4 linked regions of the Sus scrofa genome follow. The protein of the gene in region 1 interacts with the protein of each later gene in a pairwise test. Links are inferred from orthologs where the notes say so. Each region holds a gene or a part of one and is shown in the gene's direction. Other genes may lie near its edges. The genes, in order: SPRY1, CREB5, OTX1 and GEMIN4.

Region 1 (3,237 bases):
TAGGATGTGATGGGATTGGCCGAAAAGGTATTCGACTTGGATTTGGGGTTTCTTGGGGCAAACAGGCGATCGAGAACCTGTGACCGTGTTTGGAACTAGATGGAGGACTGTCACTGCTTGAAAAGGGGCTTTACTTCAGATCAGAGGTGGCTCTTTCTCTTTGCTTTCTCCTTTTATCTGGTAGTCTCCTTTACCGCCCAGGATGATCTTCGTTACAACTAGCATTTAAAACTCAGATTCGGTTGTGCCTGGTGTTTTTTTCTACCTTCAGATCCACGGGTTTTTATGTGGGTTTTTTTGTGTGTTTTTTTTTTCGCTTGGAGTCTGACTTAGTACTTTTAGATTATTTTTGTTTTAAAAATAGTGGGTTAAAAAGTTTTTTGCGAGGCAGAATGATATTGTGCAGAATAACCATGGAGTATTTTGAACAGCCCTTAAGAAATCCAGGACTAAACCCAGCAGGTTGTGAATGTGTTTCTCCTTAAGTTCAGAGAAGGTATAAGAAAGTGGAAACGTGAAGATCTGCTTTGGGAGAATGAGGGAGGGGAACTGCAAGAAGTTAACGTGTAAGACTTAGTCCAGCGACACTCAGTGAAGTTGATAGATGAAATGGTCTTCTTTCCGATTTATTCCTTAAGCTGATGTGTTTGGCTCAAGGTAGAAGTGGAGAATGGATTTTTTTTTTCTTTTCTTTCTTGAATTGGATCAGATCTGTAGACTTTGGGAGGAATTTGTATGAAAATAATCTAATTTACAACCTTGAAAACAGAAATGTTTTTAAGTTCGATAGTTTGTTTTATGGAGAATACATTATAAGTGAGAAATAATTTACTCTTGGTATAGAAACGCAAATGCTTATTTTCATCAGGATATCACTGTACTTTATTACAAGAAGCACATTGATTCGGAGTTGGCAGTGCTTTTGAAAATCAAGATCTGGCACATAAATACAGATTTTTAAATTAGAGGAAATACAGATAATTAAAATGGCCAGGATTTCCCAATACTACTTTAAAGGCCTAACACTTATTTGTGCATGAAAGTTATCTCGTTAGGTGAGTGAGCCCTTATTTAAACTTACAAAAAATCTTTTCATGATTTCAATTGTGAATACTCTTAACACTCACCGAACTGTATATTGAGTTTTCTGTGTGTTTAGAGGCTGTAAAACACCAAGAACTGTATTTGTCTATGTTCATTTTTGCAATTTGTAGATTAATTAGCTAGTTTTAAAATTTTGGTTTCTGCTGTAAATGACCTTTTATTTCGAGATTTCATTTTAGTTTAGAATCTCTTGAATTTTTTTTTTAGTGCATGGAGTATACCTTGACTAATTTTTCACCATTAATCTAATGCTTGTTCACATCAAATAACAAAAGGCAATGGCACCAAAACCGTTCTTAATTTTTTTTAAGGTGGATGTTTTCCTTTTTGGAAAACACCCATGAACTGTTACTGAGCTTTCTTTAGATGAGAGCTGTTTATTAGTGCTTATACTCAGTATTCCCCACAAGGGCGTACTCCACTTTAATTGTTTGTTAGATTCACAAACAGGAAGATATTACTTCTTGATTCTGCTTTTTAAAAGTTGAAAAAAACTCCTAATTCTTATGGCGTGGGGTCTCTTGCTTACATTCTTCTTCTATGATGTGGTCCTTAGTCTCTCTTGGAATTGGACTCTGGCCAGGACCCCAGCATCATTGTAATCCGCTGATGAGGGAGATCATTACCAGGTGGTTTAGGCAATTTGTGACTTGATGGGATTTCTCGCCTCCCCCACTTCCCCCAAATGCTTCTTGTCATTTATTTTTCTCTCTCTCTCTTTTTTTTTTCCATCCTTGATTTCCTTTTAGGATTTCAGATGCATGCCAGGTTTCCACTGATTGGCAGAATTGAAGAGCACTACACATGGATCCCCAAAATCAACATGGCAGTGGCAGTTCATTAGTTGTGATCCAGCAGCCTGCTTTGGATAGCCGTCAGAGGCTAGACTATGAGAGGGAGATTCAGCCTGCTGCTATTTTGTCCTTAGACCAAATCAAGGCCATCAGAGGCAGCAATGAATACACAGAAGGGCCGTCAGTGGTGAAAAGACCTGCTCCTCGGACAGCACCAAGACAAGAAAAGCATGAAAGGACTCACGAAATCATACCAATTAATGTGAATAATAACTACGAGCATAGACCTACCAGCCACCTGGGCCATGCAGGACTCTCAAATAATGCCAGAGGCCCCATATTGAGCAGATCAACCAGCACCGGAAGTGCAGCCAGTTCTGGGAGCAACAGCAGTGCCTCTTCCGAGCAGGGGCTATTAGGGAGGTCACCACCAACCAGACCAGTTCCTGGTCATAGGTCTGAAAGGGCAATCCGGACCCAGCCCAAGCAGCTGATTGTGGATGACTTAAAGGGTACCTTGAAAGAGGACCTGACACAGCACAAGTTCATTTGCGAACAGTGTGGGAAGTGCAAGTGTGGAGAATGCACAGCTCCCAGGACCCTGCCATCCTGTTTGGCCTGTAACCATCAGTGCCTTTGCTCTGCTGAGAGCATGGTGGAATATGGCACCTGCATGTGCTTAGTCAAGGGCATCTTCTACCACTGCTCCAATGACGATGAAGGGGATTCTTACTCGGATAATCCTTGCTCCTGTTCACAGTCACACTGCTGCTCTAGGTACCTGTGTATGGGAGCCATGTCTCTGTTTTTACCTTGCTTACTCTGTTATCCTCCTGCTAAGGGATGCCTGAAGCTGTGCAGGGGGTGTTATGACTGGATCCATCGCCCAGGGTGCCGATGTAAGAACTCCAACACTGTCTATTGTAAGCTGGAGAGCTGCCCCTCCCGGGGTCAGGGTAAACCATCATGATTCCTGGAGGTGGGTTGAACCTCCTGAACTGCTCAATTTCAAGCTGTGGCTGTTTAAAAAGATCCTATTAGATACTGGTTTTGTTTTCTTTACCATTCTTCCCTGTTTTCCACCTTCTCTACCCCTCTTCCCAAGGTTTGACTCATGGATTTTATTCTCTAATGGATGATCTTCAGTAAGAGTGAACTGTGAAACTGCACCTGGCTCCGCCTTATGACAAGAGCCTCTGCCATCCACTTGAGAGGGTATTGAAAGCCAGTGGGCTTCTGTGTAGCCTTTTTGTTCTTCAAGCAACTTTCCAAAGTTGTGCATGTGAACACACACACACACACACACACACACACACAGGCTACAGTGATTTAGAGCTGT
Region 2 (3,568 bases), on another chromosome or scaffold:
GTGCCCACTTGAGCTTGTAAGACAGCACGAAGATGATTACGAGAGCCAAGTTTACTGAGAGCTTAGTGTGTGCTGGGCATTGTTCTGTGTGTTTTACGTCTCTTCCCTCATTTAATCCTCCCAGCAACTCCAAGAACACAGTACTCTTTGCATCCCTGTCTGAAAAACAAGGTTGCTGGAGCTCGGCCGGGTTATGTCACCTGCCCAGCATCCCCAGTCAGTGTAGAAGGCAGGGTCCCACCCAAGTAGCCTGGTCCCGAGTTCACCGTCTCAACTCGGGACTTTTAATAGGATTCAGCTCTTGAGTTAAACCTAGTCTCTTCAGAAAGCCTCTGGTAAGTGGGAGGGCCAAAGTGATGGCAAGCTACACATTTTCAGGTAAGTCCTGTTAAATAATATTATTAATGTCATCCAGACGTGACAGAAGTGTGCCCGTTGTATTATTAAAGTGCACAGGGCCTTGGGCTTGTGTTCTCTGGTCTTCTTCACATGGCTTTGATCTGTCTCTTTCCAGAACGAAGTGTCCATGTTGAAAAATGAAGTGGCACAGCTGAAACAGTTGTTGTTAACGCATAAAGACTGCCCCATAACAGCCATGCAGAAAGAATCACAAGGATATCTAAGTAAGTCATTGACTTTTTGCTTTTTTCGTGTCTTGGTTTTTGCCGCTAATTTCACATTGGCTTGTATTAAAAGAACAAACATAGAGTGCACACCCAGGCAGAAATCCTGCTAGAATTCTGGAGTGGCTGCTGGACTGCTGCCCAGGGGGAATCCTTCTTTTCTGACCCCTGTTCCTCACCATTTCCACCACCTTCTGATAATTTCTAGCCAGACCTTCCCTCACCTTTCAGACTGTAAAATTCTACCAAATTCCAATTCCGCAGTCAGTAGGAGCCCAATTCCAGTGGGCTAAGCAGCCTTCCAGAGAGATCTATGGGCTGGGAAACAGGCTGTGGGTGAATCATATCCAGTGTCTCAGATGTGCAGTATGGTATTCAGTGGGCCACAAAGCTAGTGACCAGGTCTCAGTTTACCAATATGCAAAGATGGGTCCCTTTTCCTGGTCCCTTTTCCTAGATCCCAGTCTCTGCACCTGGAAGGCCAATAGGCGCCACGCTAATTGAGTGGGGACGGGAGGAGGAGCAGGGATTCGTGGCTGAAGGTCAGTGTCTCTTCAAATAGTTTTTTAGATGGAACAACACAGATTCTCCCACCACATCTGAGTATTCTTCCACATTTGTTAGACGGAGGGCGACTCGAAAAGACCAGATGGGGCGTTCATGCGCCAAGACTCAAGCCCATCAAATCATGTTGCTGATCTAGAAAGCATGGCTTTGCTTGTGGCTATAGACTGGGAAGGCCTAGCTTTGTGACAGTAGTTTAAAAGATGGTTTGGAAATTAACCTCAGGGAGAATATGTGTGAAACCCTCCTATTTCCAGTAAACACCTAGCGCTGTCTTTGGAGTCACCCCCAACCCCCCCCCCAGAAGGAGCTATATTGGGGTGTGTGTGTGTGTTTTTCCCTAGGTCCAGAGAGTAGCCCTCCCGCCAGCCCTGTCCCCACGTGCTCTCAGCAGCAAGTCATCCAGCATAATACTATCACCACGTCCTCGGCCGTCAGCGAGGTGGTAGGAAGCTCCACCCTCAGTCAGCTCACCACTCACAGAACAGACCTGAATCCGATTCTCTAAAACCCGAGGGTCAGACCTTGCCTCCAAGAAGAGCTGTCGTGTTTCCTGCGTCCTTTCTTTTAAGGGCATTTTTAGAATTCACTCAGACCTGGACGACTCCTCAGCCCTTCGAAGACTGGCTTTCATTTTTATAGTTATTATTGGAAATGTTGTCTTTTATACTTAGTTATATAAGGAAAAAAAAAAGGGAGTTATGCAATTAATAATCTATCCGCTTGGGAAATGCTTCGGTGCTTTTCTCCAATTTTCTGGTACCGGTTTCTTGTTTATAAACTGAACTCTTTCTGTATATAGTCATTGTTTCATTCTTATCAGTCCAACCCTTTGCCTAAGAAATGGTGAATCTTGTTAAACCGCAGCTTTTAGCCAAAATGAGGCTTACCTAGATGTCCAGTAAACAGATTGCAAGGCAACTGGGGGAGAGGTCCGATGACATCATAACTCATGTTGAGTTGGCTGTGATGTCACCAGAATCCCCCACAACTCTTTTCTTTTATCATAAAAAAGTGTAAGATCCATCGACATCCACATAAAACCACCAAGCATCTTACCACCTCTCCTCCTCCTCTTGGTCCACTTCCTAGAATGCCCAAATTCCCTTTTGTACTTTTACCTCTGGGCTCCCTGTTGACTCTTCATTTTTACTTTCTTCTGTTGTAGTCCCCCCCCCCACCTTTAGCATTGCATGTAAAGAAGAAAATAATATTTAAAGGAAAAAAAAAAAAAGCTAATGTGGACCTAGCCGTGGCTTCCCTTGCCTGTGACCTACAGCTGGATTTCATTCAACTCTTGCTTTTTACAAACTAGTAACCGGGAGATGTTTAATGTGCCTGATTTAATGTTTTTAATAATCAGAGCAAATAAAAGTTGGCTTAGCCATAGGTGAAGCACTGTTGAATGCCAGCTGTGGAGACACTGGGGAAGGGAACTTTGTAAGCGTCAATTGTGAAAAGTCCAAATTATAATGCCAAGCTATAACGTCACACCCTCGAATTACAACTGGTTTTATATGGCGTGTCTATAATGTTGAAAATCCATGTACTATATAATAATTCAGAAGGGCTCTGTGCACTACACAGATTACATTGTTCAATCATCAGCTGCTAATAGCCTAAGATTATTTTTTTTCCTTAAGCCTATGGAACCAGCTTGGCTGTCCTAGTGGCTGAAAGTAGATGAACTTCTGGAAGAACAAAGAGAGAAAGAAATCTAATTTCCATGGAGGTGCTTTCTGCCCTCACACAACAGTTAAAGTGCTCTTCAGCTGCTGACAGAATCCCGTGGACATGGCTACTCCACTTTTCTGAATAATTCTGATTTCTATTTTCAGCAATTTGCGTGGACTTTGCCCATTAGAAAGAGCAGGTAGTCCTGAACCACAGTTGTGCCTCCTTGAAACAAGCCATTCTACTTATGCTAAGGTTTTAATAGTGCATCTCACAAATCGCTGGGGCTAATGATTTTCTCTAGCAGTGTAGGCAGGTACTGCTGTTTCATCTCCATTTGAATGCTTGACCTTGGGACGTGAGTGTGACTGTGCTTGCGTGTGCGCGTGCATGTGTGTGTGTGTGTGTGTGTGTGTAAGAGAAAGGGAGATTATGGAATTTAAAAGAATAGTATTTTACAAAAGGTGTAGCTTTTATAAGAGTTCAGAAAAGGGAAGGATTTTTTTTCTCTCACTATAGTGTAAGAATCTATTTTGGAGAAAAAAAAGAAAATATAAGAGTCATGAAGCATGGTTTTTATAACTAGTTTCAGTTGTATCTAATAATTTACTTTTTAAATCAGTATTTGTCAGCGATCTTTTCATGTATGCAGTGCTTTCAAAAGAAAGTTTTGAGTTTCCAGTGAAACTCCTAACTTGAATATAGGG
Region 3 (4,249 bases), on another chromosome or scaffold:
AGTGTGCCCTCCATCATATTCTGTTACCGTATTTTATTCGGACTCCAAAGGAAAGTGTCGCTTGGGGGAGGGGGAAGCACTTTGATGAACGGCGGCCGCGGCCCCCTTTCACTCAGCGGGCTCCCCCTTCCTTTTCCACCTCCTCGCCCCGCGCCGGGTCTGCTCTCGGTGCCCGACCCCGAGGCCCAACAGTGCCGGCACTCCCCACCGCGAAGCGCCCGGCGGCTCCTTGACTCGCCCTCACACTTATTTCAGTTCAAACTTTTCACTCCGCCTGTTGGGCTGGAAGGGAGGCGGGGGGATTAGGAAGATGCGGTAGGAATTCCTCGAAAGGGAGAAAAGTCGTGCCTAATATTCAGGAGGAGGTGCCATTTAAAAGAATTGCCTTGTTCAGTGTTAGAGCGAAAACACTTTTTTTGCTCTTTGAAAAGTCCACCCAGGTAGAGGTGTTTGAGAAGTTTGTTCGACTGGGAAATGGGCTTCGCCAGTACGAACAATCCGGGGAGATCGCCTCAAGGAGGCTCTTGCGGAATGAGGAAAAGAAATTGAGGGCGGGGGTCTGTGGCTGCGTTTTCCACCAGATTGTCCCTAGAAGAAGGAGACCTAAAAGGAGACAATGTGAAAGAGAAAGTTTCCTATCCAAATCTTTCGATTCAGAAGTTAAGTGTGTGTGCAAGGGGGAGGGGACTCTGGGCTCCAACATTTCAGAAGAAGCGTTTCGAATTTGCAAACACTCTTCACGGAGACTGGAAACCCCAGGAGACGCCGAAGAGCAGGTAAGCGGCGGTGCCTCCCCTACGGGTGCTGTTCCGGAACGCCGGAGTCCTGAGGCGCCGAGGCGGGATCTGCGCACTAGGAGCTGCTCCCGCGCTCGGCAAAGTAGCCTGTGCCGGCACGAGCCGCCCGCGGCGTCCGTCTGCAGGTGGTGGCGCGGTGGATGAAGACGCTGGGACCCAAAGCGCGGGGAGAGGGGCTCCGGGGTCCACGGGCCGCCGAGCCGGGTGGCGCGCCGGAGAGCGAGGGAACCGGTTTTCCAGCACCTCGCCTCCTTTCAGCCACTCCCTCTAGGGCGCCGAAAGGGCGAGAGAAGGGCGGGGGTCCCCGGGGCGGCCTTGGGACTAGCATCCCCCTCCGCGGCCTGGGCTCCCGCGCTGCGCTGGCTTTCCTCGCCTTGCTCCGCGCCGCGTTTGCCAGCCAAGCCCCTGAGTTAGCGCGCGACCGGGGCGGGGCGGGCGGGCGGTGAGGGCGGGGTGCAGGGGGCGGGGGAGGGCGGGGGCGCGCGGAGGTAACCCCCGGCTCGTGCTGCCATTGCCCGGTTCCCTGTCACTCAGCCCGCGCGGGGCCCGGGATTGGCAGCCTCGCCCCGTTACGCACTCACCTCGCGTTCACATACCCGGGGAGGGCAGTAGAAAGGTGATCAATCTTCATCAGGCTACATTTCCAATCACCTAAACAACCCAGCGAGACAAGCCACTCCGACAAGGTAAATCGCTTGATTTATTTAGTTTGCAAAGTGCCTCTGCAGGACTTCCCCAGCCCCCACCGCCTCCACGCTGCACAGAGTGGAACCGCAGCCGAGAGCCACCTCCCAACTCTGCCCCTCTTACCCCACCCTCCTCCTTGCGGCCCCTTGGCGCGGTCTCGGGCGAGGTAGTCTCGGGAGCGTGTAGGGCTTTGCAAACAAAGTGTCCGTGCAATAAAGTGAAACCTGGAGGGACACGCACAAAGCCACTGGAAAGAAAGAGAAGGGGAGGAGGGAAGTTGGAAGAAAGAAATCCGGGGGGCCTAGACCTACCGCCCAGCCCGGCGGGTAATTCCTGTGCGGCTCTGTTTTGCAGGTTGGCTGCGCAGAGGGTCAGTGTGAGGGCTCGAGGTAGATGGTGAGCCGCCCCGGCAGCTGAGGGCAGGTAAGAAGAAAGCCGCGGGCCGCCCGGGACTCTGGGAATGAACGCGTCGGTTGCTCTTGCCTCCCCCTTTCCAAATGGGTCCCCGCTTCCTAGGTCCCCGGCACGTGGGCGGGGCTGGGGAGCGGCCTGGCTCCCCTCTTGGTGAGCGGAGGACCCCAGAGCTCTGCTGAGGCCCCGCGCCCCTCCCCCGCCTCCTCCGAAGTAAAGAGCTGAAGTGCTAAGTTTGAAGAAAGTCTTTGAAAACTCACGCTGTAGCCTAGCAGAGTCGCGGCGGCTGAGTTACATTCTCCTCTGGCCGTAGAGCCCCCGCTTTTTCCCTTCTGTCGCCTTCCCTGCAAACTGGGTTCCCCGGCCTAGGCCGTGGGTCTGATGGGGATAGGACCGGGCGTCTTCTTTAGCTCTTCCTTCCCGAAACTCCCTAGCCCGGGTCCCAGGCCTGCTTTGAGTTTCCGTGAAGCGGGATGACGCGACAGGTCCTCTTGGGCCTCATCCCCACTCCCCCAGAGCCACTTCCTGACCCCTGATTGTAGCGCCTCAGTTTGGGGATAACCAGAGAAACCAAGCTTCGACCCTCCAGCCCGGGTCAGCGCAAGCCACGCTGCCGGGGCCTTAGTTCTCTAGTCTCGATAGGGTCCCGGGGCCAAGAGTTCAGCTAGTAGGATAGGCAGGCAGTGCACCGGAGCTGCTGCGCTTAGGCCTCCCAAAGCCGCCGACCCTTGAGGGAGCTGGCCCGGTCACTTTTCACCCCCGCCGGGACCCGATTGTCCGCAGCCAGGAAAGATCATAAAGAAGGACCACCTTGCGCTGGCGAAGAAGGATTGCGGATGTGGCGAGGCGCCCCTGACCTCAGCCCACGTCTTAGAACCGCCACCTCTACAGGGGCCCTTTCTGTTCGCTTTTCCAGAACCTGGGCCAGTAACTGTGGTTGAGATGTGGGTAGGATTCGGGGTAAGCAATCTTTGGGCGGCTGGGAGCAGAGAGGTCAATTGAGACTGTGGGGTCTGGAGCCGGGGAACCAGCTCCGGAGACCTTGAAAGGAACGTTCTCTCCTAAGTAGGCAGTGGGTCCCAGAGAGGCCCAGGCGCTGCCAGCCCTCCGCAGTGCCTCACCTAGGCTCTCTCGTGTCTACCTGTTCGTCCCACTTTAAAAACATTTGTAACAAACTGAAACAACCGCTCCTGTTCTGGGCCGACTATCGCGTGGGCGCTGCGAATAATGTTTGCTTGTTCAGAGTGAGGCCGGCTCCGACCCGACCAAGAATTTTGCCTAGACTTGGGACCTAGTGCATTCTGTAGTTCAGGCTCTGACCTCCCAAATTTGGCCCTGATTTTAACCTTTCCTCATTCCTAGAGTCGCCCTATTCCAAGCCCCAAAAGAGGAAATGACGATCCAGGAAAGTTTACTTTTCTAAGAAGCCTTGGCCTTTGGGCCTCAATGGAGCCGAGTTGACCGCCCTGCATAGTTCCATAATCTACTCCCCCTTCCCCATCCTGTGACTCCTTGCCTCCGACAAGACTAGGAAGCTGTGATGGCTCAGAATGATGGTTTCTGCATATATCCTGTCTTCATAGGCCTGGCCCCAGACGCAACAGAGCTTGAAGGACTTCGCAGTGGGAGGCCCGCACTGCGCCTGGCCCAGGCCCCCTGGATCCGTCGGGGCGCCTCCACCCAGCTGTTAGCATGATGTCTTACCTCAAACAACCCCCATACGGAATGAATGGGCTGGGACTGGCTGGTCCAGCCATGGACCTCCTGCACCCCTCTGTGGGCTATCCCGGTGAGCACCAGTCCCTGCAAATCTTGGGGACCCCCGGCTTCTGGAGTTTGAGCACAGGCTTGTCCCAAAGCAGGTCCAGGGAGCCGGTTGCCTAGTCTTCTCATGCAATGCAGGGCACAGCAGTCGGTGAGGAGGGCCAGGGCAGCCAAACGTGAGAAGCAGGGGTCACACCGGCCCCCTGTCTCTTGTTGTGGCCTCACTGCCAACCCAGGATTTGTTTCCCATGGGTGGCTTTTTTTGTTTGTTTTTGGTGTGTCTCTATGTGTGTGTGAAACTATGCTTTTCCCCCAACATTGAATGAGGAATCTGGACACTTAGCTAGGCCCTAACAGGAAGGGCCAGGACTTGCCTTATGCAAAACGACTGGCTGAGCTGAGGAAGGGAGATTTACCCCCCAATTAAATTGTCCTCTAGAGTGGTGGCTTGCACCAACTTCTGCACTGCTGGACGACTTAAGCCAAATCCTGGCTTTCTTTTCTAGCTCTCATTCCTTCACTCCCATTTATTCCCTCTGAAAATGTTTTCCAGGATGCGTTTCTGCATACCCCTTCCCCATCCTGCAGCT
Region 4 (2,489 bases), on another chromosome or scaffold:
CCTTGGGCCCAAGGACAAGAGCAGGACCTGAGCCAGGAAGCCCTCTTTTTTTACACGCAGGTGTTCTGCCATGTCCTGCACATCATGGCCATGCTCCACCAAGAGCTGTGCGAACCACTCTACGTTCTGGCCTTGGAGATCCTCACCTGCTACGAGACCCTGAGCAAGACCAACCCTTCCGTTAGCTCCTTGCTCCAGAAAGTCAACGAGCAGCGCTTCTTAAAGTCCATTGCCGAGAACATCACCCCTGAGGAGCGGCGCCAAACCCTGCTGCAGAAGATCAGCAGCTTCTGACCTCGGGGATCAGAAAATAGCTGGGCCTCACCCTGGCGGGGTCTGCAGGCCCTGAGCTGAGAAACGCAAACTTTCCAGGTACGTGACATTGTACAGAAGCCCAAAAATGTGACAGTAGCAGTGCAAAGAAAATAGTTTCTTAGGTATTTGTAACATACAAATTATAATAAAATGCTCTCTGGAGTTTCATCTTGCCTCTTCTTCCCCCCCCCACCGCCTTCCCCCACCCCGCCCTTTTAGGGCCACACCTGCTGTGGGACTACGCCACAGCCACAGCCACGCCAGATCCAAGTCACATTTGCAACCAACACCACAGCTTGCGGCAGCGCCCGGTTCTTTAACCCACGGAGCGAAGCCAGGGATCAAACCCGCATCGTCAGGGATGCCGTGTCGGGTTCCTACCCACTGAGCTGCAAAGGGAACGCCCATCTTTCCTCTTTTGAGCCTTTCTTATCAGTGGTCTGGGCTCGGCAACACACTCTGAACTCGGGCTCAGCCCGTCTTAAAGATCAGGTCAGGCCGGGAGGAACAGCATCGTAACTGGCCTCCACCCGAGAGTTTGGCAGGTAAGTCTAAAGGGGGAACCACCCAAGTGGCCCCATCACAAGGGCGGTGTTGTGTACTGGGACTCGTTGTAAGAGTCGTTTGAGGGCTCTTGGAAGGGGCAGCAACTACGGAAAGGACCCTCCTCTGCCCCCAGGCGGCCCTGTGATTGGTGTGTCTCCAGGGCCTGCAGCCTCTGTGAAAGGAGAGGGTTGGACCAAGAACATGAGATGTTGGGGGGCAGATCAATGACCTTCAGAAGATGCCCCACAGAGTTGACCGCCCCCCCCGTCATTCAGTGGATCCCCAAGGGCCTGTGCTGAAACTGCCTGGTAAACACAGCTGAGGCGTGTGTAGGGGACGGGTGTAATTATCTTCTGCCTCGGATGGGTTGTCACAGTTTAAAGAATGAGCAGGAGCAGGGATGGTGTGCAAAGATGCGTGAAAATGAGAATTTCACGTGCCCAGCATCTGTGACAGAGCTATGAGGACTGGCCGGCAAGGTGTCTACCTGGGAGGCCAGGAAGGACAGGAGGAGCCCCGTCCCGGTCAGATCCACGCCCCGGTCAGAGCGAGGGCCTGTGCACGTTTCCTCCCCCCCTGCAGTGGGCTGGCTCCACGGCCTCCCATTGGCTGTGCGCCCTCCGGACAGACTCCTAGTTGGGATTCACCTGGGAAGAGAAGGGCCTAAAGGTCCATGATTCCACTGGGCCTGAACTCTGGAACGCTGCCTCGTCTTCCCAGAACCAGAATTACAGGATCATGTTCAAGAGAGGTGTGAGTCAGGCCCTCCTGGAGGCTGGAAAGCGCTCACACATCCCCCGCCCCGGCAGCCGGCCCCCCTGCCGCTTAGATGAGAACTCAGGCCAGAAACGAGCAGACGGCAGCCATTCACGTTGGGTCACAGGATGGATCTTAGAGTTGGTATGGCTGTATTTCACAAACGAGAATGAGTTGGAAAATATTAGTGCAATTTAATCACCACAGGAGTGATTTATCAGGATACACTGATGGTAAACAAAACAGTAAAAAAAATTACAGCATTTTATGATTTTTAAATGGCACCCATTAAAGACTGAAATAGTCAAAATCGAAGACACTGTTACACATTCAGTACTTTAAAAGTTCACGAACAACAATGGATTAAGTAAAAGGCACTTTTAAAAACCTAGTTTTTTAACTACCTCTTGGGGAAAAACTTCATGGTAGCGGGTTCTAAACCCCATCCTTGTTAAGGGACATTTAGTGTTGGCACCAGAGTATCCTCTTTGCAAATGGCAGGTGAAGAAGTCCGTCCAAGGACAGGTTTCGGCCAGGGCTGTCTTGCGCTCTTGCCCTCCAGCCTCCTGGGGCCACGCGGTGGTAACTCAGATAGGAGCAGGCTTTGGACCACAGGCTCTGGCTTATCGGGAGGCAGTCTAGCTAAGATATCTCAGGGTTTGGGGTACAGAAGTCCTTTCTGCTTCATATGAGAAGGACAATGTCAAAGAGGGGGGTTACGCAGCAAATAGTGCAGTAGCTGTCACTTGCTGTTACCCTGGAGTTTTCACAAGAGCATCCTGCGTGTGTCGATCCGGTGAGAAGGCTTGAGGGACACACCAGAAAGGGAACGGTATCTGTGGCGTGTTTACAGCAAGCTCACAAGCTTGACT

The links.
Region 2: the proteins of SPRY1 (region 1) and CREB5 interact in binary tests that used the Homo sapiens proteins (3 or more experiments, as listed by UniProt). The two-hybrid records come from large-scale screens. The link is inferred for Sus scrofa from reciprocal best matches to the Homo sapiens genes SPRY1 and CREB5.
Region 3: the proteins of SPRY1 (region 1) and OTX1 interact in binary tests that used the Homo sapiens proteins (3 or more experiments, as listed by UniProt). The two-hybrid records come from large-scale screens. The link is inferred for Sus scrofa from reciprocal best matches to the Homo sapiens genes SPRY1 and OTX1.
Region 4: the proteins of SPRY1 (region 1) and GEMIN4 interact in binary tests that used the Homo sapiens proteins (3 or more experiments, as listed by UniProt). The link is inferred for Sus scrofa from reciprocal best matches to the Homo sapiens genes SPRY1 and GEMIN4.

The regions. Positions count from the first base shown.
Region 1 is NC_010450.4:100,857,548-100,860,784, reverse strand, and holds part of SPRY1 (protein sprouty homolog 1), read left to right. Parts: exon of another isoform or gene 1-27; intron 28-868; exon of another isoform or gene 869-1,055; intron 1,056-1,853; 5' UTR 1,854-1,908; coding exon 1,909-2,868; 3' UTR 2,869-3,237. UniProt on the Homo sapiens protein: Inhibits fibroblast growth factor (FGF)-induced retinal lens fiber differentiation, probably by inhibiting FGF-mediated phosphorylation of ERK1/2. Inhibits TGFB-induced epithelial-to-mesenchymal transition in lens epithelial cells.
Region 2 is NC_010460.4:43,844,964-43,848,531, reverse strand, and holds part of CREB5 (cyclic AMP-responsive element-binding protein 5), read left to right. Parts: intron 1-514; coding exon 515-623; intron 624-1,531; coding exon 1,532-1,695; 3' UTR 1,696-3,568. UniProt on the Homo sapiens protein: Binds to the cAMP response element and activates transcription.
Region 3 is NC_010445.4:78,900,205-78,904,453, reverse strand, and holds the start of OTX1 (homeobox protein OTX1), read left to right. Parts: upstream 1-1,408; 5' UTR 1,409-1,483; intron 1,484-1,838; 5' UTR 1,839-1,907; intron 1,908-3,478; 5' UTR 3,479-3,587; coding exon 3,588-3,684; intron 3,685-4,249. UniProt on the Homo sapiens protein: Probably plays a role in the development of the brain and the sense organs. Can bind to the BCD target sequence (BTS): 5'-TCTAATCCC-3'.
Region 4 is NC_010454.4:47,114,771-47,117,259, forward strand, and holds the end of GEMIN4 (gem-associated protein 4), read left to right. Parts: coding exon 1-294; 3' UTR 295-1,929; downstream 1,930-2,489. UniProt on the Homo sapiens protein: The SMN complex catalyzes the assembly of small nuclear ribonucleoproteins (snRNPs), the building blocks of the spliceosome, and thereby plays an important role in the splicing of cellular pre-mRNAs.